Linked DNA regions of Caenorhabditis elegans. The protein of the gene in region 4 interacts with the protein of the main gene of each other region in a pairwise test. Each region holds a gene or a part of one and is shown on either strand. Other genes may lie near its edges. The genes, in order: taf-12, egl-13, paic-1 and C46H3.2.

Region 1 (7,836 bases), on a different chromosome or scaffold from region 4:
AGATTTTTTTTCCAAAAAAATAGTCAAAAATTAGAGATTTTAGCTAAAACTAGGCGTTTTTTTCTAATTTTTTTTTCACGAAATCCGTATTTTCTAGACCATTTTAAATATCAAAAAAAAACATAAAAATCAGTAATAAAAACGCCGTACCACTGGCATATTATAGACATTCTTGAGAATAAATTCGATATCCCGTGATTCAATTTTCTTCACCTCCCGATTCTTGATCATTTTGCATGCTTTATCGATTAGAGAACTGACAAAATCGTCGGCGTACTCCACAAGAACATCTTTTACATTTTCTTCGAGTACTGTTGTTGAGCTGATTTGTTGCATCAAATCATCCAGTTTTGACTGAAAAAAAAATTTTAAAAAAAAGAAGATTTTTTAAAATAAGAATTTTCGGTTTTTTCAGTGAAAATCAAAAAATCGGAAAAAAAAATTTTATAGAGTTTTTGAAAAAAAAAAACTACGAAAATTTTAGGCTATTTTTTTTTTTTTTTTTATTAATTGTTATAATTTTCGATTTTTTTGTTTGAAAATCTTGAAAATCGAAAATTTAAAATTTTTTAATTAGAAAATTAAACAAAAACTCTTAATTTTACAAGAATTTTTACAAGAAAAATTACCAAAAATTTAGGCATTTTTTTCAGTGAAAATTTAAAAATCGAATTTTTAATAGCAAATTTACAAAAAATTCCATTTTTAATTTCATTATTTTTTCAGGAGCAAAGCAAAAACTAGTGTATGCAGAAGTTCGAATTTTTTTCAAAGTTCAAAAAAAAATTTAAAAATTGTATTGAAAAATTGGAAATTTTCGTTTTTCGTTTAAAAAAAATCGAATTTTCAATAAATTCCGGCCATTTTTCAATACTTTATAGAAAAAAAAAATCACTTTTTTCAATAAAAATCAGCATATTTTTTGATAAATCTATAGCTTTTTCGTCCCCTTCCGTGAATTCTTTGTGCATTTTTTTTCCTATTTTCTCTGAAAAAAAAGACCGAAAAATCTGAAATTTGCTCATTTTCTATGAAAAGACAATCCAAAAAATTTTTTTTTTGCGAATTTTTGCTAGAGAAATTTGTAATTGAAAAAAAAACTAAAAAATCAGAAAATTTTTTAAATTTTCCTGAAAAAACCTGAATTTTTTTCGATTTTCTTTGAAAAAAAATCGGAAAATCTGAGCTTTATTCGATTTTTTCTGAAAAAATTTCAAAATTAAATAAAAATCAATTTTCCAAGTATTTTTGCCGGTTTTTTTGCCGAAATTTCCAAGTATTTTTGCCGGTTTTTTTGCCTAAATTTCCAAGTATTTTTGCCGGCTTTTTTGCCGAAATTTCCAAGTATTTTTGCCGATTTTTTTGCCGGAATTTCCAAGTATTTTTGCCGGTTTTTTTGCCGAAATTTCCAAGTATTTTTGCCGGTTTTTTTGCCTAAATTTCCAAGTATTTTTGCCGGTTTTTTTGCCGAAATTTCCAAGTATTTTTGCCGGTTTTTTTGCCGAAATTTCCAAGTATTTTTGCCGGTTTTTTTGCCTAAATTTCCAAGTATTTTTGCCGGTTTTTTTGCCGAAATTTCCAAGTATTTTTGCCGGTTTTTTTGCCTAAATTTCCAAGTATTTTTGCCGAAATTTTCAAGTATTTTTGCCGGTTTTTTTGCCGAAATTTCTAAGTATTTTTGCCGGTTTTTTGTTGCACCTTTTCCATAATACTTCCATACGGAACAGCGGCCGGTATCATTTGAGGTGGCGGTGCCTGTTGCTGTTGTGGCTGTGGAATTGGAGGCTGTTGAATTTGTTGAGATGGTGGTGGCTGCTGATGTTGCTGCTGATGTTGTACTTGCATAATTTGTTGAGGAGGCAGCGGCATTGGAGACGAGTTTGGCTGGAAATTTTGAAAAATTTTGCCCAAAACTAATGGTTTTTATAGTTTTTCCATTAAATCGGGCTCTTTTTGAGCTCCAAAAAATATTACGCCACGACAAATTTGGCGAATTTGCCGGTTTTTTACGAGCTCGATCGGTAAACGTTGCCTTTTTAGTTCCGGCAATTTGCCGATATGCCGGAAATTTTAATTCCGGCAATTTGCGGGAAAATTGAATTCCGACATTTTGCCGATTTTGTCGGAAATTTCAATTCCGGCAATTTGCCGATTTGCCGGAAATTTTAATTTCAGCAAATTGTCGATTTTGTCGGAAATTTCAATTCCGGCAATTTGCCGATTTTGTCGGAAATTTCAATTCCGGAAATTTGCCGATTTGCCGGAAATTTTAATTCCGGCAATTTACCGGTTTTGCCGGAAATTTCAATTCCGGCAATTTGCCGATTTGCCGGAAATTTCAATTCCGGCAATTTGCCGATTTTGCCGGAAACTCACCACAAATTGTGGTGGTCCACCACCTCCTTGCTGCTGCATCATATGTTGTGGCGGAGGCCCTCCGACCATTCCCATTAAATGTCCAGATGGTCCTGGCTGGAAACATTTTAAAATTAGAGGATTTTTAAGCGGATTTCCAAAAATAACTGCAGAAAAAGTCTTAAAAATGCCCAAAATATGCGAAAAAAAAATTTTTTTTTTGAAGAAATTATACAAGCCTTGAAATTTTCACCGCTGCTCCGCTGCTCCACTGCAGAAATTGTTTTGTAACATTTTTTAGAACAATTTTTCAGAGATTTTTGATCCCGTGGACCCAAATTCCCGAAAAAAGGTTTTTCTTGGGTCTCAAACGGAAGCTTTTTTTAAATTCAAATTTCCCAGATAATAACCGCCCCCGTACCCCTTGAGCCATGCCCATCTGCATTGGTCTCTGTTGCATTTGCATTGATTGCCCATTCGGTGTGAATTGTTGGGGCTGCTGCTGTTGTGGAATACCCATTTGTTGAAAGTGTTGCTGCTGCTGCTGCTGTGGTGGTGGAGGGCCCGCACGCATTTGTGGTGATGGGTATGGCATTTGGCGGACTAAAATTACGAATTATTTCATGAGAAGCCTTATTAAAGAGACGGTGTAGTCACCGAAAATATGAAGATTTTCGCTAGAATTAGGCGATTTTCGGAAATTCAGCATAATTGGAACATCGTCCAATCAGCGTACCGCTCCGCCCACTTCTGGACCAATCAGACGGAGTGGGCGGGGTTTGAAGATGCTGATTGGTAGGAAAATACTCGAAAATTGGTAAATTAAATATTTTAAAAAAGCGATTTTTAAAATGGAATTCTTTGAATTTTTTAAAAGCGATATCTACATTTACCCAAAGCCGCCTTAAATTACACCTAAATTAACGAAAAACGTGAAATAAATATGCAAATTAGGATGAAAATTGAATAAAAATCAATTTCTAGCCACCCTGGCACCGAAAAAATGGAGATTTTAGGCGATTTTCGGAATGTCTGGTAGATCATGGTGTGATCTGCAAAAAATGCGGGAATTTTTGGCCCAAAAAATGTGACGTCAGCACGTTCTTAACCATGCAAAATCAGTTGAGAACTCTGCCGCATTTTTTGTAGATCAACGTAGATCAAGCCGAAATGAGACACTCTGACACAATGTGTGGTTAGGAAATTTGAAAATTCAGCAAAATTAAAACAGCGACCAATCAGCGACCGGCTCCGCCCACTTTTGGACCAATCAGACGGAGTGGGCGGAGAGCTAATTTTAGTAAAATTTGAAAATCACGATTTTTTTTCCGTTTTTTTTGTGGTTTTTCTGAATTTGAAACTATTTTTTTTGGATATTTTTAAAGGTGGTGTAGTCGAATGTTTTTATTTGCTTTATTAGACTCAAAATTGTCTGAAAACACCGAATTTCATAGTGAAACTGTTTGAAAACTTCTCAAAAAATAAGTTATGACGGTTCAAAAAATGACCTAAAATTAGTTAAAATTTGAAATTTTACCGACTAGCCAAGCGTCTGGAAACAATTTTTCGAAATCACCGTCAAATTTTAAGTATACAATTTAATTATCTTGCGTTTTCAACTTCATTTAAGTATTTTAAAGTCGATGGACGGCGAGATTTGGTTTTAAAAAATTTAAAAATCTCGTCGTCCATCGATTTTTAAATACCTTAATCAAATTTAAAACACAAGGTAATTAACTTATATACTCAAAATTTGACGGTGATTTCAAAAAAAAATGTTTCCAGCCGCTGCGACATTGATAAGTTGGTCAAATTTCAAACTTTAACTAATTTTAGGTCATTTTTTGAGCCGTCATAACTTATTTTTTGAGAAGTTTTCAAAAAGTTTCACTATGAAATTCGGTGTTTTCAGACAATTTTGAGTCTAATAAAGCAAATAAAAACATTCGACTACACCACCTTTAAAAATATCCAAAAAATAGTTTCAAATTCAGAAAAACCACAAAAAAAAACGGAAAAAAATCGTTAAAAAAATTTAAAAATCTCGCCGTCCATTGATTTTTAAATACCTAAATCAAGTTGAAAATGCAAGAAATGCACTAATTTTAGGCCATTTTTTGAGCCATCATAACTTTTTCCTGAAAAGTTTTCAAGAAGTTTCATTATTAAATTCGATGTTTTCAGACAATTTTGAGTCTAATACAGCAATAAAAAAAAAATTCAACTACACTCTCTTTAAAAATATCCAAAAATACATTAAAATTCAGAAAAACCACAAAAAAAAAAACGGAGAAAATCGCGATTACAAACTCCGCCCACTCCGTCTGATTAGTCCAAAAGTGGGCGGAGCCGGTCGCTGATTGGTCGCTGTTCCAATTTTGCTGAATTTCCGAATTTCCTAACCACACATTGTGTCAGAGTGTCTCATTTCGGCTTGATCTACGTTGATCTACAAAAAATGCGGCAGAGTTCTCAACTGATTTTGCATGGTTAAGAACATGCTGACGTCACATTTTTTTGGGCCAAAAATTCCCGCATTTTTTGTAGATCACACCATGATCTACCAGACATTCCGAAAATCGCCTAATTCTAGCGAAAATCTCCATTTTTTCGGTGCCAGGGTGGCTAGAAATTGATTTTTATTCAATTTTCATCCTAATTTGCATATTTATTTCACGTTTTTCGTTAATTTAGGTGTAATTTAAGGCGGCTTTGTGTAAATGTAGATATCGCTTTTAAAAAATTCAAAGAATTCCATTTTAAAAATCGCTTTTTTTAAATATTTAATTTACCAATTTTCGAGTATTTTCCTACCAATCAGCATCTTCAAACTCCGCCCAATCTACCTGATTGGTCGAAAAGTGGGCGGAGCGAATCGCTGATTGCTCAGGCATTTCTCATTTTGGAGGTAATTCGAAAAATCATGTTTTTCGAGTTAACTTTTTCACTTTTTCGCGATTTTTTTCTTTTTTCTTCGGAAAAAACGTAAAATAGCCGACTAAAATAGGCGGAATAGGACAAAATTGGAGATTTCAGCTAAATTTTGAGCAATTTTTTTTTCATTTTTCACGGAATTATTTCTGAATTTGAGGCATTTTTTAGGAGTTTTTTCTTCATACTTTGCTGCTGTGGCATCTGCATTCTCATCGGGCCGCCCATTCCACCCATCGGCGGTTGGCCCACAAACTGCTGCTGCTGCTGCTGTTCGTTGGGATTCTGATGGCCTTGTGGCGGAATTCCCTGCTGCATTGGCTGAAAATGTGGGTGATAGACGTGATATCCATGATGGTAGGGCCACATTTTTTAGTATTAGTAAATATATATATATATATGGACAGAGGACGACGAGAAGCTTTTGTGATGGAAATGGTTTTGTCGGGGGAAGAAGAGAAGCACAATCGATATGAGAATAATACACATACACTTTGGACGTTTACGGGGGAAAAAAAACGGAGAGGCGCTCCGATTTTTTATTATTTTTATTCGTTTTTTTTGTTTTTTTTTTGTCGGCTGGCCGGTGAGTCATTGTTGGGACAGAAAGCAATAATTAGAGAGCGGACACACAAATCGCTTACAGAATTCGTGGAGAGAGCGGCGGCGATTTGCGGGTTCGCCTGCACGATTACGTGATTATTCGGTGAAGTTGGAGGTGAGAATTCTTCCATTTTCATTTTTTATCTGCAACTAAGTTTTTTTTTGATGATTTTAAAGCTTAAAATCTTTCGGAAAACCGAGGAAAATGGAAATATATTCATAAAAATGAATAAATTCGTTAAATTCGATAAATTTTCCACAGTACCTCGGTCGTTGTGAGACCCAATGTTAAACAAAAGCATTGCGCCTTTAAAGTTATACGGTGAAACTTTTCAAGCAATTTCTATTTTTTTCCGAATTTTTAGTTGCTAATTATTATTTTTGATTAAATATTACGAGAAAAATTTTAATTTTGAAGAATTTCTTCAAATAAAGTTTAAAAAACCGAGGAAAAGTCAAAATTAATAACTGAAACTCGGTTCGCTGTGAGACCCAAACTTAAAAATAGCAATGCGCCTTTAAACTTATACGGTTGTATTTTTAGGCAATTTAAAGTGAATTTATGTTTTTTCCAGAATTATAGTTGCTAGCTATTATTAATTTTAAAACCGAGTGAAAATTTTAACTTTGAGAATTTTCTTTTAAAAAAAACCAAGGAAAAATCAAAATTAATGACTGAAACTCGGTTCGCTGTGAGACCCAAAGTTAAACAACAGCAATGCGCCTTTAAAGTGATACGGTGGCGATTTTCAAGCAATTTAAAATCAAATTGAATTTATTGGAAAAAATCAATGAAAAAGACCTAAACTAATAAATATTCAAAGTTTTATTCTCGAATTGCACATAATATTATGCGCCGAAACCTCGTAAAATTAGGCAGATTCTGATATAAGGGAAAAACGATCCGAAAAATGTAGGACATTGGGGGAATAGAGACGTAGGGGGTGGTGGCGAGAAATTGAGGCCAATGAAGAGAACGAGAGACCTCTCTAGCTCTTTTCCGTCTCTTCTCGCAACTATCTCTCTCTCTCTCTCACTAGTGTGGTTTATTAGAACCTAAATGAGCGTGGCCGTGGGAAAACCTAGGCCACGCCGTTGCGAGGAAGTGCAAGTAAACAGAAAAAAGACGACGGCGGACGTCTTATAAAAACAAACATGTCACATTTTGTTGTCCACTCTGTCATTATTTTGCGAAAGAATTGGGATCGAATTGGGAAGTACATTTTTGGGTCTCGCCGCGATTGTTTTCTTTAATTGAATATAACTGTACCATGTGATCACTGGAAATGGAAAAACATATTTTATCTAACATTGGTTGAGGAAAAGGCAATAAAAACAATTAAAATATCGAGTTATTACAGTACACCGAGGTTTAAAGGCGCATGAGGGTTTTGAAAAGTCAAAGTAAAACTGGATATTAGCGTAAAATTTTGTTCGGTCATAATCGAGTATATTCGTAAAGTTAAAAAAAAATTTGGGTGTTTGGTTTTAAAATAATGTTTTTTTGAAAATTGAGTTTTTACTAAATTTCAGCTAAAGAAAAACTTGAATTTTAGTCGAATTTTGAACGGTGGGTAATAATTTTTTGTGTTTATATTATTATTCAGACATCAGTAAGTAAATTGGTAAAGTTTGAAAAAAATTTGGGTGTTTGGTTTCGAAGAAAATAATTTTTTGAAAATTTGAATTTTTATTCATTTTCAGCTAAACTAAAACTGAAATTTCAGACAAATTTCGAACGGTGGGTATTAATTTTTTGTGTTTATATTATTATTCAAAGATCAATTAGTATATTGGTGAAGTTTTAAAAAATTTGTGTGATTGGTTTTGAATAAAATAATTTTTTTGAAAATTGGAATACATATTAATTGGGAGCTAAACTAAAACTGGAATTTCAGTCAGATTTTGAACGGTGGGTATTAATTTTTTGTGCTTATATTATTATTC
Region 2 (4,708 bases), 4.4 Mb from region 4:
TGAATGTCATAAATCTTGAATTTATCAGGGAGCGATAATTTTGCCAGCTATGAGACATAAGAAAAACCTCCAATAGTAATTTTTCATATCAACTTGTAAGAACATAAACATTAGTCACATCACGCGTTGTGCAACAGTATTTGAGTTTGCTTAGAAAATCGGAATACTAAATGTCTCAATCTCAAATTCAAGTTCAAGCATAGATCTAAAATTTTAACATTTCGATGTGTTTTTTCAGTTCTTGTGTTTTTAACAATTCTAAATATGCAAACCTATTTAATTTACCTAGTTATTCAGGGTGGTTAATAACTGTGTAAGTTCACTTGTTTTAATATCTCGTTCCAAAAACAGAAACGTTGAGTTACTGCAAAGTGGTCGCCATAATTATGGGCGACTCTGTATATTCTTGAACTAGAAAACCGTATCTTTACGGTTTCATTTGTGATAGCCTTTTGACCTTATTTTATATAGACTTATATAAGAGTTCGTATACTCTAGGATTTTGTTGTATGTAGTAACTAAGATTTTTTTTAATATTCCAAGTTCCTAGATGTCATAACCTCTCACTATAGTTAGAACTTTTTGGCCTACTTAAAATTTCTAGGCTATATTGAAATACAATTTCAGTGTGTTTCAATATTCTTTACTGTCAAAAGCTAAAATGTCCACCTAAAATACATTATGATTGATTCCCGTCCTCGTATTGCGATGCCCTCTTAGTCTATCATAAATGCATTTCCGAATCTTCGAAACGAGGTTGAGTAGGTGCATTGTGTCAACTAAAAGAAACATTATGGAATTGTTGCAAGTGGTTCTCGACCTATTACCATTTCGCGTTCTTTGGAAAACTTTTGCGCCATTGGTCAACACATCCAGTTCTGAAGAAGCGCGGGTCCCCACCGTGTCTCTCCGACAACACACCACCACCACCCACTTTGCAGAGAAGAGGGCACAGTGTGTAACTTATTGTGAGACGATTCAGAGGACAAACAAATTGCGTGGTCAGTTTTGTTTTCAGGTGGGGTGGTCACTCTCTTTCATTCTCTTCATTGTGTGATGGAACACAACTACCTTGAACCACTTGTCTGATACCAGTTCCCTCTTCCAATCACCTAGACAACCAATACCAGCTTTTTCCTGTTTTCTCCCTCTCTCTTCTTCTCTTGGTTCAAAGTTTGTTGTCTGAAATTGCCAGTTCAATTGGGTCACCATGTCTGAAACTAGTGACCAATGAAATTTCGTGAACAGTCCAAAACAAAAAATTAATACCATAGGCTTCCTTGTGGGACAACTAGTTATATTTTCTGTTTGACTACTGAACTTATGTTTCTCTAAGTGTTGCTTTCTACTTTCAACCAAACATTTTTTTTCTCATTTTTCCATTTTGCCCCCATCTTTTATTCACTTGAACCTTTTCTCTTTTCTTTTTCTTCTTACCCTCAAAGGACAAATCGTGAGACTATCCTCAATTGAAGAAAAGGAATTTCTGATATATATCTGTGCAATATCTTTGTTCTCCTTCATAATTCACAATTCATTCAGCGCGTGTGAATCGTTTGAATTAATAATGCCACTGAACTCAAATAATCGGCCTTTTTAAGTTTCTCTAGTTTCAATTTCTAACGCTTTTGATTCTTCTTTTTCAATGTTTTCTTCAGGCTTGAATTTACAAACGCAAATTTAAAATTCCAGACACTCCAAATAAAATCAATACTCCATAATACTGCTGGATCAGTAACAACAATCTCCCGAATGGCTCTATAGTGGTGAGTAAGAACTAGTTTCCGTTCTAGTTTCTACTGTGCCATGCTCTTTCCCCTTTTAATGTTGTGAGCACTGTTTTGCTTTTTCATTGAAATAACAAAACAAGTAGAACAAGTATTTGCACCAGCAAGCATCTGGTAAGTATTCTCTTCCTCACCAACTTTACTTTTCTCACACTTTTGCCTATATTTGCGCATTTGGAGCAAGAGCAACACTTCCAGATTTGGTGACAGATTTCAAAGAATTATTACTTTGTCTAGTCTTATTTTCTCCTTGTCGTGTGCCGTTGTTGATCATAATAATAGTAGGCCAAATCGCCGCACCCGTCACTGCTCATGATCCCTTTAATATCCTAGCTAACTCCGAGTTTATCATCATGTGCCTCCTATGGGCACTGCCAATTCCATAAATAATTGTTTTTTCTTCTTTTCTATCTATCCTTTGTGTTATCCTTCTTCTTCCATACTTTACCTTATCAAATATTCATGTATTCTTGACAGACTGTAAGGGATAATTGGAGATCTCGATGATGAATTATCCTTGCTCTTGTGTTTGCAGTTTTGGTAGGGTGTATATGTCAATTATTTCTTTTGAATACTCTATTGAGAATCTATTGAAACCATACTCTATTCAGCTTGAGCTTCAAGGGAGAAACATGCGAGTGATCATTGACATACTTGATTGTAGTTAAAAACCGCATTTTCCGTATTAAACTTGCACCCCAATGGATTTACCTCGTATATCAGTCTTCTTAAGTTTTACCAAAAAATTATTTACTGTTGAAATGTACAAAAACATTTTGCACATAATTTGCCAACCGAGATAGAAGCTGTCAAAGTAAAGCAATGAGAGTACAAGACTAATACATTACAACTAACGTCTATATCATCCCTTTTCTAATCTGGGAGTTTGGTGCTTCCAAATTATTTTCAGAAAAAAACGTCAGCACAGTTTGATAGCAAATGCTGCAAAGGATATGCTCCCCCAGTTTTATGATGATACCTGAAAATTAAGTAAAAATTTTGTAAAAAAAACATTCATCCAACTTCTATAGCACTCATCGGATTTTTTGACAGGGGCCAGTTCTCGGCTCCTCATAATTTTCTCGTTTATTGTTAAAATTTCGAACTAAACTTTGAGATATAAGTTGTGAAAATCAAGGACCATAGGTTTTCAACATTTTCTATTGAACTGTACTAACACCTTTTCAAAAAATATTTTCAAAAACACCAAACTCTCAAATTAGTGGGGTGGTGCTATAGACGTTGGGCACACTGTAGAGAAATATTTGGTGGTATATTAGGTCTCCAAATAAGTTCCGGGTCAAAAGTCATAACTTTGTTCGCTGCGTATCGATTTTTATGAAACTTTGGGAATTCATGTTATCAACTATGATCTTTCATTTGACAATAGTCACAAAATTTTTTGACCACCCCAAGTGCCCTAACTCGGAACCAATTTTTTCAGGCATTTTTCTGATCTCGCTTCTTTTCAAATTTCAATTGAGGTTCATGGTTACATCATTTTTGTAGGAAAAATCTAGAATTTTCGACAAAAAATTTTTTTGAAGATTTTTTGACGACCAACCAAAAAAAATTTTTTTGGACGGATTTTTTCAAAACTTTTGTTGTTTTCTAATAATGTATTCTAAACAAAGAAAAATCCGCACACAACCCTCAATTCAAAGCTGAAAATAAGCGAGATCAGAAAAATGCCTGAAAAAATTGGCTCCGAGTTAGGACACTTGGGGCGGTCAAAAAATTTCGTGACTATTGTTAAATGAAAGATTATAGTTGATAACATAAATTCCCAGAGTTTCATGAAAATCGATACACAGCGAACAAAGTTATGATTTTTGACCCAGAACTTATTTGGAGACCTAATATATTTGATTTACCTTTTTTTGAAATCTTTCTTATTTGTTGTGCATGAGACTTAACTTTTTTTTCATAAACTTATCACACAACAATTCTTCGCAAAACACTACAATCGAACATCATTCCTGCTCATCAAACATCTGCGCTGTCCCACTGTCCCAGTGTCTCATCGCTCGTCAAGCCTATCAACATTTTTTGTCCCAAACTAAAAGTGCAATGAGAGCTCCATTGTATTGCACGAAAAGTTTCTCAGTTTCTCAAAAAGTGTGACATCGAGAGAAAAAGAGCACCGTTGTTTCGAGGTTCAGCCGCCACAAGAGCCAGTTGTCACCGGCGCCCCGGATACACGGAACAAAGCCATGAGACGTATGTTCTATTAGGTGTTCAACTATTGCTAACCTGTCACCTGCCCCGACATTATTTGATTATCTATTGTCTCGTTAATTGATGGTAAGTAGAGTGTGTGACACCTTGAGAAACGATTCCACAAATATCACCATTTTGAACGTGTTGAAAATATCCGTCGAACTAACGTTTGTACTCGTAGTATCACTTTTTCCTATCCGTTTTTCGTGTTTGAAATCTTTGATAGGAAGATAAGACACAGGGAACCCCGAGCTCTTGATGGAACAATGCCTGCCAAGATGTTTGTCAATTGTTGCATCTTCCTGGAAGACGACAAAAGTTCCCCCGTTTTTCATCTTTTCGTCCCACTCTCATACGAATCTTGAACAGAAATTGTTGCGAAAATTTTTTCTTTCAAAAACTGACCTCAAATCAGCGGAAGGAGTCACTTGTCACACTTGTTCTTCTTTTATATATCACACTTAATAACACCTATCTTTTGTTGTCAAACCAAAACGGAGCTCTTGTAATATTCAATATTGAACGAACATTATGCCCTTTCCCATTTGACAAATAGGCCTTGATCCATCCTGCTCTAGACTATAATCGGCTTAACCAGGCCTTGCTCATAGATTTCGATTCTTAGCCCCTGTTTCCTCCATCCCCACAACAACAAGTTATCCAAGGGCAACATCGATGAATTGTGGAATTTGATACTAACG
Region 3 (5,417 bases), on a different chromosome or scaffold from region 4:
TCGATAAATTATTGCAGATGTTAGCAGACGACCATCAAGTCGACTTTGCTGGACCCCTAGGCGATTGTGACCCCTCGCGGCTCAGCGGGATATCAAGAAATAGTCAAGAAGGACCTATGCATGGGATTATTACTCATCCTGATGGTGGGAATACTTTAAAAATAAGCATTTAAAATAATAATTGTTAATTTCAGGCGAAGTGACAAACATTCCAGCGTCAATGCTTGACGATCAGTTTGGGATGGCGGGTTTGGTGACATATCTTCGGACAGTTGACAATCCTTCCATTGTTTCACTGGCGTTAGGTTATGATCTTACGACGTTGGGCTTGAATTTGAATTTGTCAGAGTGAGTAGTGGCCTGAAAAGCCCGAAAAGCCCAGAAAAACTCTAATTTCCCTCTGTTTCAGACGAAAATTGTACATGAACTTTGGTGGTCCGTGGGCCGATTCGCCGATTCGAGCACACGAGCTCGACGTGAAGGTGCCCGAGGAGTACATGACGCATAATCATATTCGAGACAAACTTCCACCGCTGCGATTGAATAAAGTTTCAGAAGACGTGTTATTCTATCTTTTTTACAACTGTCCAAACGAGATTTATCAGGTGGCGGCGGCGTGCGAATTGTAAGTAAAGTTTATTCCAAAAACCTGCATCGACCATGACCGCGAGCGGAGCGTCGTGTTTAAAAAATTTATTTTAGTTTTTTTTTTTCCCCGAGAATTTGTGATTTTCATGAATTTACATATGAAACGCATAAAAAATTGGCCAAAATGATAGAAAATCACTCGTTCTGGGCGAAAAACTTTCAAGAAAATCCGCTTTTTCGTTAAGATCGCATAATTGTTCATCATTTTAGTTGATTCTTATTTCGCCTCATATATAAATTTATGAAAAATCATGTGAATCACGCGTTCTTAGCGAAAAGTTAAAATAAAAATTATTGAGCCGCTCCGTTTGCAGTTACGTCGCGGTCGAAGTTCACGAATCAAATTATTAATAATTTTAAAATTTTAGCTAGAAAATTGAAAAAAACATATATTTTATGTTAGCAATTGAGAAAATCTTTTTTATCACGAAACAATCATTATATTTTCAAATTTTTTGCAGGTACGCTCGCGAATGGCGATTTCACAAAAGCGAACAGGTGTGGTTGACGCGTTCTCAGTACGGTGGAGTGAAAGAACAGACGGGAAATTATGAAAAAGGGCATTACAACGTGTTCGATCAGATGCAATGGCGAAAAATTCCGAAAGAGTTAAAGTTGGAGTACAAAGAGCTCGAGGATCGGCCGAAAATGCCGCAATCAGTTTCCGGACAACCGACACCCTACAAATACTTTTTCCAAGGACCACAATTTCCGAGCGGTCCGGAGACGGGTCTGATGCTTCAGATGCATAACTTGACGCTCGGCACAGGTGGCGGCGGTGGCGGACAAATCACTCCACCGGCACCAGCGGGTCTTAACGGAGTTATGGGTGGTGGTGGTGTTGGAGCAGCTGGAATCGGAGGAATCAATGTGCAACCGGGAGCCGTTCCATCGGCGGCGCGAGCTACTCCAAACTAAACAAGAAGAAGATGATCTCTCGTGTGCAAATTTTCTATATCCCACTTTCGTCATCTTGTTCTCGAATTGCTCCCTTTCTCTCTCATTTTCCATCTCTTTTTCCCCTCTTTCTCTCCACATTTTCTCTCCCAATCTCCCATTTTTTTCCTTCGTTTTCCTTATTTTTCCTCTTTTCTCTACGTTTTCGTATAAACGATTATCGATATACACAAGTTGCTCTTTGAAAACCTGTGATTTTTCAAAGAAAGAGCTTCACAATGACTGGCGGCGGCGGTTTTCTCTGTATTTTCAGTGGCGCAACACCGAACTGATAAGACGGGGAAAAAGGCTGAAAACAAGATGTTTGTCGATGACAAACTCGCCTACAAGGGGGTTCTGATATCGTTCCGTGATAGCAACACAGTTTCATTCGATACTATTATTGTTTGTCATGTCGTCGTTGGCTGAAATCGCGTCGAGACCCGAAAACTTGGAGCTTCTTGCTGAAGGAAAAACCAAGCAAATCTTTGATATTAAAGGAGAAAAGGTTGGTTTTTTTCACTGAAAATTCAAAAAATTTGGGAAAACATTAATTTTCTACTAATTTTTTAATGCTTTATAGATTAAAATTTAGATATTTTAAAAGCGCCTTTTGAAATCGTGATGCAAACGCGCTCCGCGAGTAATCTGACAAGCTCCGCCCCAAAACGTTGGGTCTCGTTGGGAACGTGAATTTTTGACGATCTCACCCAATTTTTTTTGCATTTTTCAACATAAAAATCGTTAAAAACAACGAGAAATGATTGGAAAGTGCTGGAATCGGCAAAAAAGTAGGATTATACGGTTTTACCGCCAATACCTAACGAGACCCGGTTTTCAGTTATCCGTGGCGCGCTTTTGCAGCCCAAGTCACATTTTTATGCGTCTACATAATATTCAGAAAAGCGTGTCCTAGAAACACGAAAACTCGGCCAACCGAATTATCAGAAGAGATTTTTCAGAAGTATGCTCAAAATAATCTTTGAAAGAAATGTTCGGTTTTCACTGTCGGTGAGTGGCCGAGGTTTCACGTTTTCTAGGCCACGCCGCAAATAGCCAGCTTGTGGCCTAGGAAATGAGAAAACTCGGCCACTCTTTCAGCACATTTTTCAAATACACGTACGGAAAATTTCCTGTAAAAACGGTGTCTGAGCTTTCACGGAGCCTAGAAAAAACTCGGTCAATTTCGTAAATTTGAAATCTATTTGAATTTTTCCGTTTGGATTGCGATAATAATGTGCTTTTCAACAAAATTGAATCCAACTTTTTCAATTTCTGAACAAAATCTTTTCAGGATTATGTGCTCATTCGTTCCAAAGATAGCTTGACCGCATTCAACGCTGTCCGTAAAAATGAGCTTGAAGGAAAGTCTAGAATCGCAAGTAAAACCACATCAAACGTGTTTGAATATCTTCAACTTCTCGGTCTACCAACACACTTTGAAAAAAGCATCTCTGAAACTGAATTTGTCGCCCGTAAATGCACCATGATTCCGATTGAATGGGTGGCACGACGTGTTGCGACAGGATCCTTCTTGAAGAGAAATCCTGGAGTTAAAGAGGGTTTCAGATTTAATGATCTGAAATTGGAGACATTTTTCAAAGACGACGCTAATGATGATCCACAATGGACTGATGAACAAATTGTGTCGAATGGTTTGATGATTGATCATTTGAAAATTGGAAGAGAAGAGATTTCATTGATGAAGAAGATGACAAAGTTGGTGTTTAGAGCATTGGAGAAAGGATGGGCTCTTTCAAATAGTGCTCTGATTGATATGAAGGTGAGGGTGTTGCAAAGTTTTTATTATTCTCTTTTTTTTTATCGGTCTCAACTTTAAAAAGTAAACATAATAAAAAGTATGTAAGTTTAATGTTCGGTCTGCAATATATTCGTTTTGTAAATATTTACATTTTGAAAGGAAATCAGCACCATTTAAAACTGGGTGTTTTCTGTAACGTGTCGATTTACGCAGCTTGAGTACTTCACGAGGAGAAGTGTGTTTTTCTTTTCGCTGAATTTTACAATTGTCGGTTGTTGTAATTTTGAAATAATTTTGAAGAAAACCTGAAAATTCCAGATCGAATTCGGAGTCACAGTTGAAGGAGAAATTCTCCTGGCCGACGTGATTGACAATGACTCGTGGAGAGTTTGGCCTGAAAATGATAGACGTCTGCAGTTGGATAAGCAAGTTTACAGGGATATGAAGGAAGTGACAGAAGAGGGGTTGGCTCTCGTTTTGAAGAATTATACAAAGGTTAGTAGGCCGAAGCTTAGGCCTAAGCATATGCCTATGCCTGAGCCTAAACCAAAGACTAAGCCTAATCCTAAGTTTTAGCCTAAGCCCATGTCTAAGCATAAGCCTAAGCCTAAGCCTAAACCTAAATTCAATCATCCTATATATCAATTGTTAGATTTTTACGCGAATCAAACCTTTCGTGTAAGCACAATAACTTGCCTGCCTGCAAGGCGATCTGCACCTGATTTCTGCCAATATGCATACCTACAATTTTCGGTAGACACGTTGAGTAGGTAGGCAGGCACATAGACACGAAGGCGTATCTACCTACCAATAACATTTCCAGGTTATGGATATCACTGCCACCTTCTCAAAACACCAGCAAAAATGCCATGTTCTTGTGATCATGGGATCTGGTTCGGATGGCGTATTCGCACGGAAAATCTCTGATGAAGCCAAGAAATTTGGACTGGAAACTACGCTGAAAGTAAGCTCAGCTCATAAAACTACCTCGGACACTCTGGAAGTTATCGCTGATTTCGAAGAAAGTGGAGTTCCGACAGTTGTGATTGCAGTAGCTGGAAGATCCAATGGACTCGGTCCAGTTATTGCTGGAAACTCGTCTCTTCCGGTAGGACTTGAAAGATCAGATGATCTTTATTTCAAAGAATTCAGGTGATCAACTGCCCGCCACCAAGTGAATCAACGAGTCTTGACATTTGGTCATCACTCCGAATGCCGAATGGAATCGGGTGTACTACAGTGTTGGACCCATCGGAGGCCGCGCTTGCCGCCGCAAAAATCCTCGCGTCTCACAATCATATTGTGTTTGGAAAAGTGCTCACTGCACAGCTCAAGAATCAAATCAACATTTACGTAAGTGATAGAGATGTGAATTTCTAATTTTTGAACTTTCAGAACGCCAATCGCAAACTTGAATAGATGCAGGACTGAATTGAAATCAGATTTTTCAAAAACTTTCTTGTGTAAATTAACTAATTACTCAACGTTCACTTTTATTTCAGCATTCTTATATTAAAAACGAAATGAAATGTTTGAATCTTAAACTTTCAACTGCACATTCCACAGCACGTGCAGAAGAAATCCACGTGTGCCGAGACATCCACGAGAAGATCAGTCTCTTGAGTCAGCTGTCTCCGTTGCTGACGTTGACGATTATGGGTATCGTAGAGTTCTGGACAAGGCATTCCGGCTGACAAAACACCTACGAGAACTTGAACATTTCGAGTGTCCGATGTTCGGACAACTCCCGAGCCACTGTCACCCTGGAATCAGTGGAAACTATTAGGCATCTTGGGCAAGTAGGCATTGTTCTGCCTACTTCTGAAGAAACACTTTTAAACTTTAAAAACAAACATCACAAGACAATCCTCTATTCACTGCCGACGTACAATACACCCCGCCATATGGGAAATCGTCGGAGCACTCCGCAACAAACGAGTATAGCGATTTCAACTTTCCAGACTCCAAAACACTATCCGAAGCTGGAATTAAAAATTTCAAAAGATCACATAAAAATCGGAACTTACGATCTCTTCCATAACCAAAAAGCTTATATCCGGTTTCTCTGATC
Region 4 (4,914 bases):
CAAAATTAAATAAATAAATTGGTCAGTTAGCTCTAAAATTAGGTCAGTGCTTTCAAAAAATTGGTCAGTGCGTTTCAACATTTGGTCAGTGCAAAACTCAATTTAAAAGTTTATTTTGCCATTTTGTTTTATTTACTGAACAGACATATTTTTGTTCTAAACTCCAAGTTTCCAAAGTTTTCAGCTATTCCCCTATTGTTCCTCAATCGTTTTATGAGATTAAAATTTGTGAATTCAAATAAATCATAGATTTTCCCATATTCACCCCTTACATCGCACTGACCCTTTTCGTCACCACCTGCGAAGAAGTGAGATGATATGACAAATGATCATGACAACAAATGTACATACACATTTATTGATGGAGAGACACAGATTTTGGGCGTCCGAATTCCCTTGTTCAAATCTCATCTCAAGGTCTCTTATCTGGAAAACGGAACATAATAATGATAACAATGAGATGATGATGAAGAGGAAAAGGGCGTTTATGAGAATTAACATTTTTATTCTTTTTAAGTTTTATATGTATCTCTCGAAGGAGTACAGATACAGGGAAAATCGTCACAAAAATGATTTAATTTTGCGATTTTTTTAAACACAAATATCTTGGATGGTCTTGAGACGACAAATGTTTGCTTCACTAATTTTTCATAATTTCTTTTTTTTTTTCCTCTAACTTTCTATTTTATTCAGTTTGCATAAAAAATTGTTGGCCGAGACCGGGTACCGTATCAAAACAAACTTGCTTCGTTATAAAAATTAATTTTTAGATATGTTCCAGAAAATATTCACAAAAACCTTTTAATTTATTATTTTGGTCAGTGCAGAAAATAAAGTGGTCAGTGCACTCTAAGGTTGGTCAGTGCAAGAAACTAATAACAAACTTTGTTTGTGAACATTTCTAGTCTGCTTAAAGTTTTTTAAAAAGAAAATAACCAAAAATAATTTAAAAACGGACAAACTCATTTTTGGCAAACGAAAAGAAAATTTATTTCAAAAAACAAGCTTAATCTTTTTTAATATCATTATTCTGTCACTTGCATGACGCGTCCACTAAATTTGTAATTTTTTCCTTTTTTCATATTCAGTTTTTTGACTTTGTAATGGAAATACAAAAATTATAGAAAATTAATTTTTTCGAATTTTTCTGAAAATATAATGGAAATTTCTGAAGGTAAATTATGTTTCTAAAATTATTTGCCAGTAAATAAAATAAGAGAATTAAAAATGGAAGTTTGGAAAATTACGTTGAAATAAAAAATATATAAAAACGATTTTTTTTTTCTTAAAAGTTTGTTCGTCGGAAATTTCAACAAAACCAGAGCTTTTGATTTATATACTTTAAAAAAATGATTTTGAGAATAATTAAAAATAGCTTATTTAAATTTCAACTCTGGTCATTTTTAACCAAGCTTTCCAAAATTTTAAGTATTTTTATAGTAGCTGTAGTTTAGAAGGCTCAAGCGTTTCATAATTATAGTCAATTCCAAAACGATAAAATTTGAATAGTTTAAGATTTTTTTAAATTCGGTATATATTTTAAGGAAATTTTTAAAGCCCATTACTAATTATTACGATTCTTTTTTTAAAATTTGTTTTCCTTGATCTTCTTGAGCCACAACCGCCACAAAAAAATAGCAAAAGTGGATTGTATTATTTGCGTAGATTTCCATTCGTTTGTTATCACAAAAGTCGTCGCCCTCTCTCTACCCCCCGAATATCCACCCGTACCTTTTGCTGTCTTTCGTTCTCTGGCGGAAGTACTCAAGTGGAGAAGGGATGTGCACTAAAAATGTGTATTTTTGTGATTGAAAATGCTTCTTTCTGCAGTTTTTGATGTTTTATCCTTTTTTAGAATTCGGTTTTTTTTAAATATTTAGTTAAACTTGCAGAGATCTTTTGGTATGTCCAGCAAAAAACTTCTTAGGAGGTTTTCATCAAGTATATCAGGTGGGTGAGATCATGTGGCAGAATTAACATCAAAAGTGGAAAAAACAAGTTTGGCGTAATTTCTTATAAAAATTTAAGGATTTTAGCAACTCTAGGCATGGTCAGTATAAAAAATACTTGGTCAGTGACATGGTCAGTGCTCCTGTTAAAATAGGAGCAGAAAATTGAGATTGTTTGGTTTTTGAAAAGAAGCTCAGTTTTTCATTTTTATAATTGTAAAATATATGTTCTTAAAAATTTTTTAACTGAGAAAAAATAATTTCTGGGAGTAAAACACTTTTTTTCGTTTATTTCAGATCTTCTTAGCATACCCAAAAGAGACCTTTGTGATAATGAAGAATTTACACCTTTACATAATGCAGTCAAAATGGGAAATACAGTTATGGCAAAGAATTTTATAGATTCGAAATCAGTGTGGATAGATGAGCCGGATTGTAGAGGTAATTTGAAATTTCTTAAAAAATAATAGTTTTTGCAAAATTAAAAAAAAAACCCGTTTTGAATTATCAAGCATTTTCTGAGCGGCAATTTCAAAATTCGACTTCAAAAAATACTAAAACGTGCACCAAACTGTATTAAACTTTCAATTTTTAGGCCAAACTGCTCTCCACTTATCCATCACCTACGGTGATACCGAAATGACGTCACTTTTACTGAAAGGCGGTGCAAACGTGGATTCCGTAGATTATGATGGAATTTCGGCATGTCATATTGCATGTAAAGACGGTATGATTGATCATGTAGGTTTTTTGGATTGGAAAAGTTATGTGTCAGTTCTATGGGACCCCATCTTTTAAAAAAATGGGTAAATAAAAAACTTTTGTAATGAATTATTGCTTTTTTCGGATTCAGCATGTTAATAAATTATGCTCCCAAAAATCTCAAACACTATTCTATCACTGACTGAAAATATATTAACTGCGTCAGTTTTATTTTGTTTTGAGACCCTTTCAAAAAAAAAGTCACTAAAGTTCTAGATTTTTCGAATTGAAAAAAAAAACAGAAAACTGTGTTAAATCAGGGATTCTTTATTAATTGAAAATTGAGAAGTTACGTAAAGTTTATAAAAAATGGAAGTTTTTTTAAAGCTTTTTTTAATAATGACAGAATTAAGGGTGTATAAAAATGTTTCAATTTAAAACAAAGTAATTTCATTAAAGTGAATTAAAAATTTTCAGTTTAACCTACTCATCTACTACCATGCAGACATTTGTTTAGTTGACAGAAGTGGAAGAACACCATTCGATTTGGCATGTGAATATGGACAAGAAAAGGTTTGCTACCTACTAGGGAAGGAGGCGCGGTTTCAAGACCGGACGCCTGCCAAATATCTGCACTTATTTTTGCACTATGGCGAGATGCAAAAAGCTTAGTGTTTATACCTCATAGTGCAAAAAGTTGATCTTTCAACGCGGCCGACACCTTTCGGTTTTGCGTCGTACCATACAAGAGGCGCGGTTTGCGGCACGAGATAGACACGGCAGTTCTTTTGCCGCCTGTATGGATGCCCTACTACCTACCTCTTGCATTGCTAAACAGGAAATTTCAGATGCTGGAGCGATTATTCAGCTGTGGCCTAAGAAAGATCAATTTCCAATATATGGACCATCTCCACACAGCTTCGGCATTCCACCTGGCGGCTGGAAGTGGTCAAGTTCAGGTTTGGCAAAATTTTCAGCTTACTAGAAATCTAGGCTAAAATTAAATTTCCAGATTTTATCAATGTTACTTCAACACAATTGGGATTTGAATTTTGTGACAGAAAGCGGGTCGGCTCTTCACATGGCAGCTGGCTCTGGACAAGTTCAAGTTGTTCGGTTTTTGCTGAATGTAAGTGCCTAATTTTTTATTGTTAATTTTCCAAGTTGAATAAAAATGGCTATCTGTTATTTTGTATGCCAGAATTTGTGTAAAAACCATTGAACGAAAACTTACATAGTTCAGAATAATAGAAAAGCCATGGTCAAAATCTTTGAAAAATCAAATTTAAAGATGTAATGGCTACTAGCTTTTAGTTAAAAAAAATCAAATTATTACAAGAGTATTAACTTTTCCATTTTGAAAAAAAAGGAATAAGTGGCTTAATTATTTTTAAATTCGTTTTCAAATGAATGCAAAATTTTACATTTCCAAAAATAAAGTTACGTTTAAAAACGATATTTCACTTTTGATTAGAAAATTTCAAAAACCGATGTATCTAAACATAAAACAGAAAATTAAAAATTTACAAAAAATCCATAAATTACATATGGAGCTCTAGAAATTATTCAGGCTTTCTAATTTTTCATTTGCGAAATTTAAAAAATCAATAAAAATTCAGAAAAGGTTAATGTATCTATTTTTAAAAATATTCACCAATTTCGGTCTATTTTATTTTTTTTAACTCCGCAGACCACTCTGATACATCTTTAGCTAGTTTCTAATTTCTGAAATTTTCAAAAGGAACTATTAGGTTGGTCGAAAAGTCTTTGCAAAATTTGTACTTTTCTTCATTTCTCAGCGTTAATTCATTTTTTTCTGATTCGGTTTTTTTTGCATAGTACGTAATGTGCATGTTTAATATATTAAAAAAAAACTTTTGGGTGCTGTTCAAAATGACCGAGAATTTGCTCGCCGAACGTCACGCCCTCCGATGGGTTTTTCTGTACGAGTTCCCCCAAATCTGCAATTGCAACGAAGCTCGTCGTAACATGTGTGCAGTGTTAGGCAAGAACTCTGTCACCTATAATACCATGAAGTTTTGGTTCGAAAAGTTCACGAAAAAGAACTACGATCTCGATGATAAACCAAGATAAGATCGCTCTCGTTTGAATATCGACGAGGATATTTCGAGAGCCCTGGAAGATGATCCAAGAGCAACGAACCGCGAACTTTCTGCGACTCTCAAGCATCCCCAAAAAACCATCATCAACCATCTCCACGAAACCGGAAGGGTAGAAAAGTTCGGTCAACTCGTTCCTCACA

The links.
Region 1: the proteins of C46H3.2 (region 4) and taf-12 interact in a two-hybrid assay, tested with the Caenorhabditis elegans proteins (one large-scale study listed by BioGRID).
Region 2: the proteins of C46H3.2 (region 4) and egl-13 interact in a two-hybrid assay, tested with the Caenorhabditis elegans proteins (one large-scale study listed by BioGRID).
Region 3: the proteins of C46H3.2 (region 4) and paic-1 interact in a two-hybrid assay, tested with the Caenorhabditis elegans proteins (one large-scale study listed by BioGRID).

Annotation. Positions count from the first base shown.
Region 1 is NC_003281.10:11,863,249-11,871,084, forward strand, and holds the start of taf-12 (Transcription initiation factor TFIID subunit 12), read right to left. Parts: upstream 6,034-7,836; 5' UTR 6,027-6,033; coding exon 5,931-6,026; intron 5,608-5,930; coding exon 5,475-5,607; intron 2,959-5,474; coding exon 2,777-2,958; intron 2,473-2,776; coding exon 2,377-2,472; intron 1,885-2,376; coding exon 1,699-1,884; intron 355-1,698; coding exon 151-354; intron 1-150. UniProt on the Caenorhabditis elegans protein: Part of the general transcription factor complex TFIID. Plays a role in recruiting taf-4 to the nucleus and thereby activating transcription initiation by RNA polymerase II, as part of the TFIID complex.
Region 2 is NC_003284.9:5,662,145-5,666,852, forward strand, and holds the start of egl-13 (Transcription factor egl-13), read left to right. Parts: upstream 1-1,692; 5' UTR 1,693-1,766; intron 1,767-2,220; exon of another isoform or gene 2,221-2,360; intron 2,361-4,343; exon of another isoform or gene 4,344-4,536; intron 4,537-4,708.
Region 3 is NC_003280.10:4,369,095-4,374,511, reverse strand, and holds paic-1 (Phosphoribosylaminoimidazole-succinocarboxamide synthase), read left to right. Parts: upstream 1-1,986; 5' UTR 1,987-1,996; coding exon 1,997-2,092; intron 2,093-2,604; exon of another isoform or gene 2,605-2,674; intron 2,675-2,878; coding exon 2,879-3,367; intron 3,368-3,664; coding exon 3,665-3,841; intron 3,842-4,169; coding exon 4,170-4,454; intron 4,455-4,498; coding exon 4,499-4,699; intron 4,700-4,741; coding exon 4,742-4,765; 3' UTR 4,766-4,887; downstream 4,888-5,417. Other genes in the region: ntl-2.1 (NOT2/NOT3/NOT5 C-terminal domain-containing protein), read left to right, coding at 18-144, 195-348, 410-625, 1,110-1,566; try-9 (Peptidase S1 domain-containing protein), read right to left, coding at 4,894-5,109, 5,201-5,328, 5,374-5,417.
Region 4 is NC_003284.9:1,227,737-1,232,650, reverse strand, and holds the start of C46H3.2 (Caskin-2), read left to right. Parts: upstream 1-1,892; 5' UTR 1,893-1,904; coding exon 1,905-1,950; intron 1,951-2,246; coding exon 2,247-2,390; intron 2,391-2,544; coding exon 2,545-2,690; intron 2,691-3,128; coding exon 3,129-3,224; intron 3,225-3,499; coding exon 3,500-3,610; intron 3,611-3,663; coding exon 3,664-3,780; intron 3,781-4,914.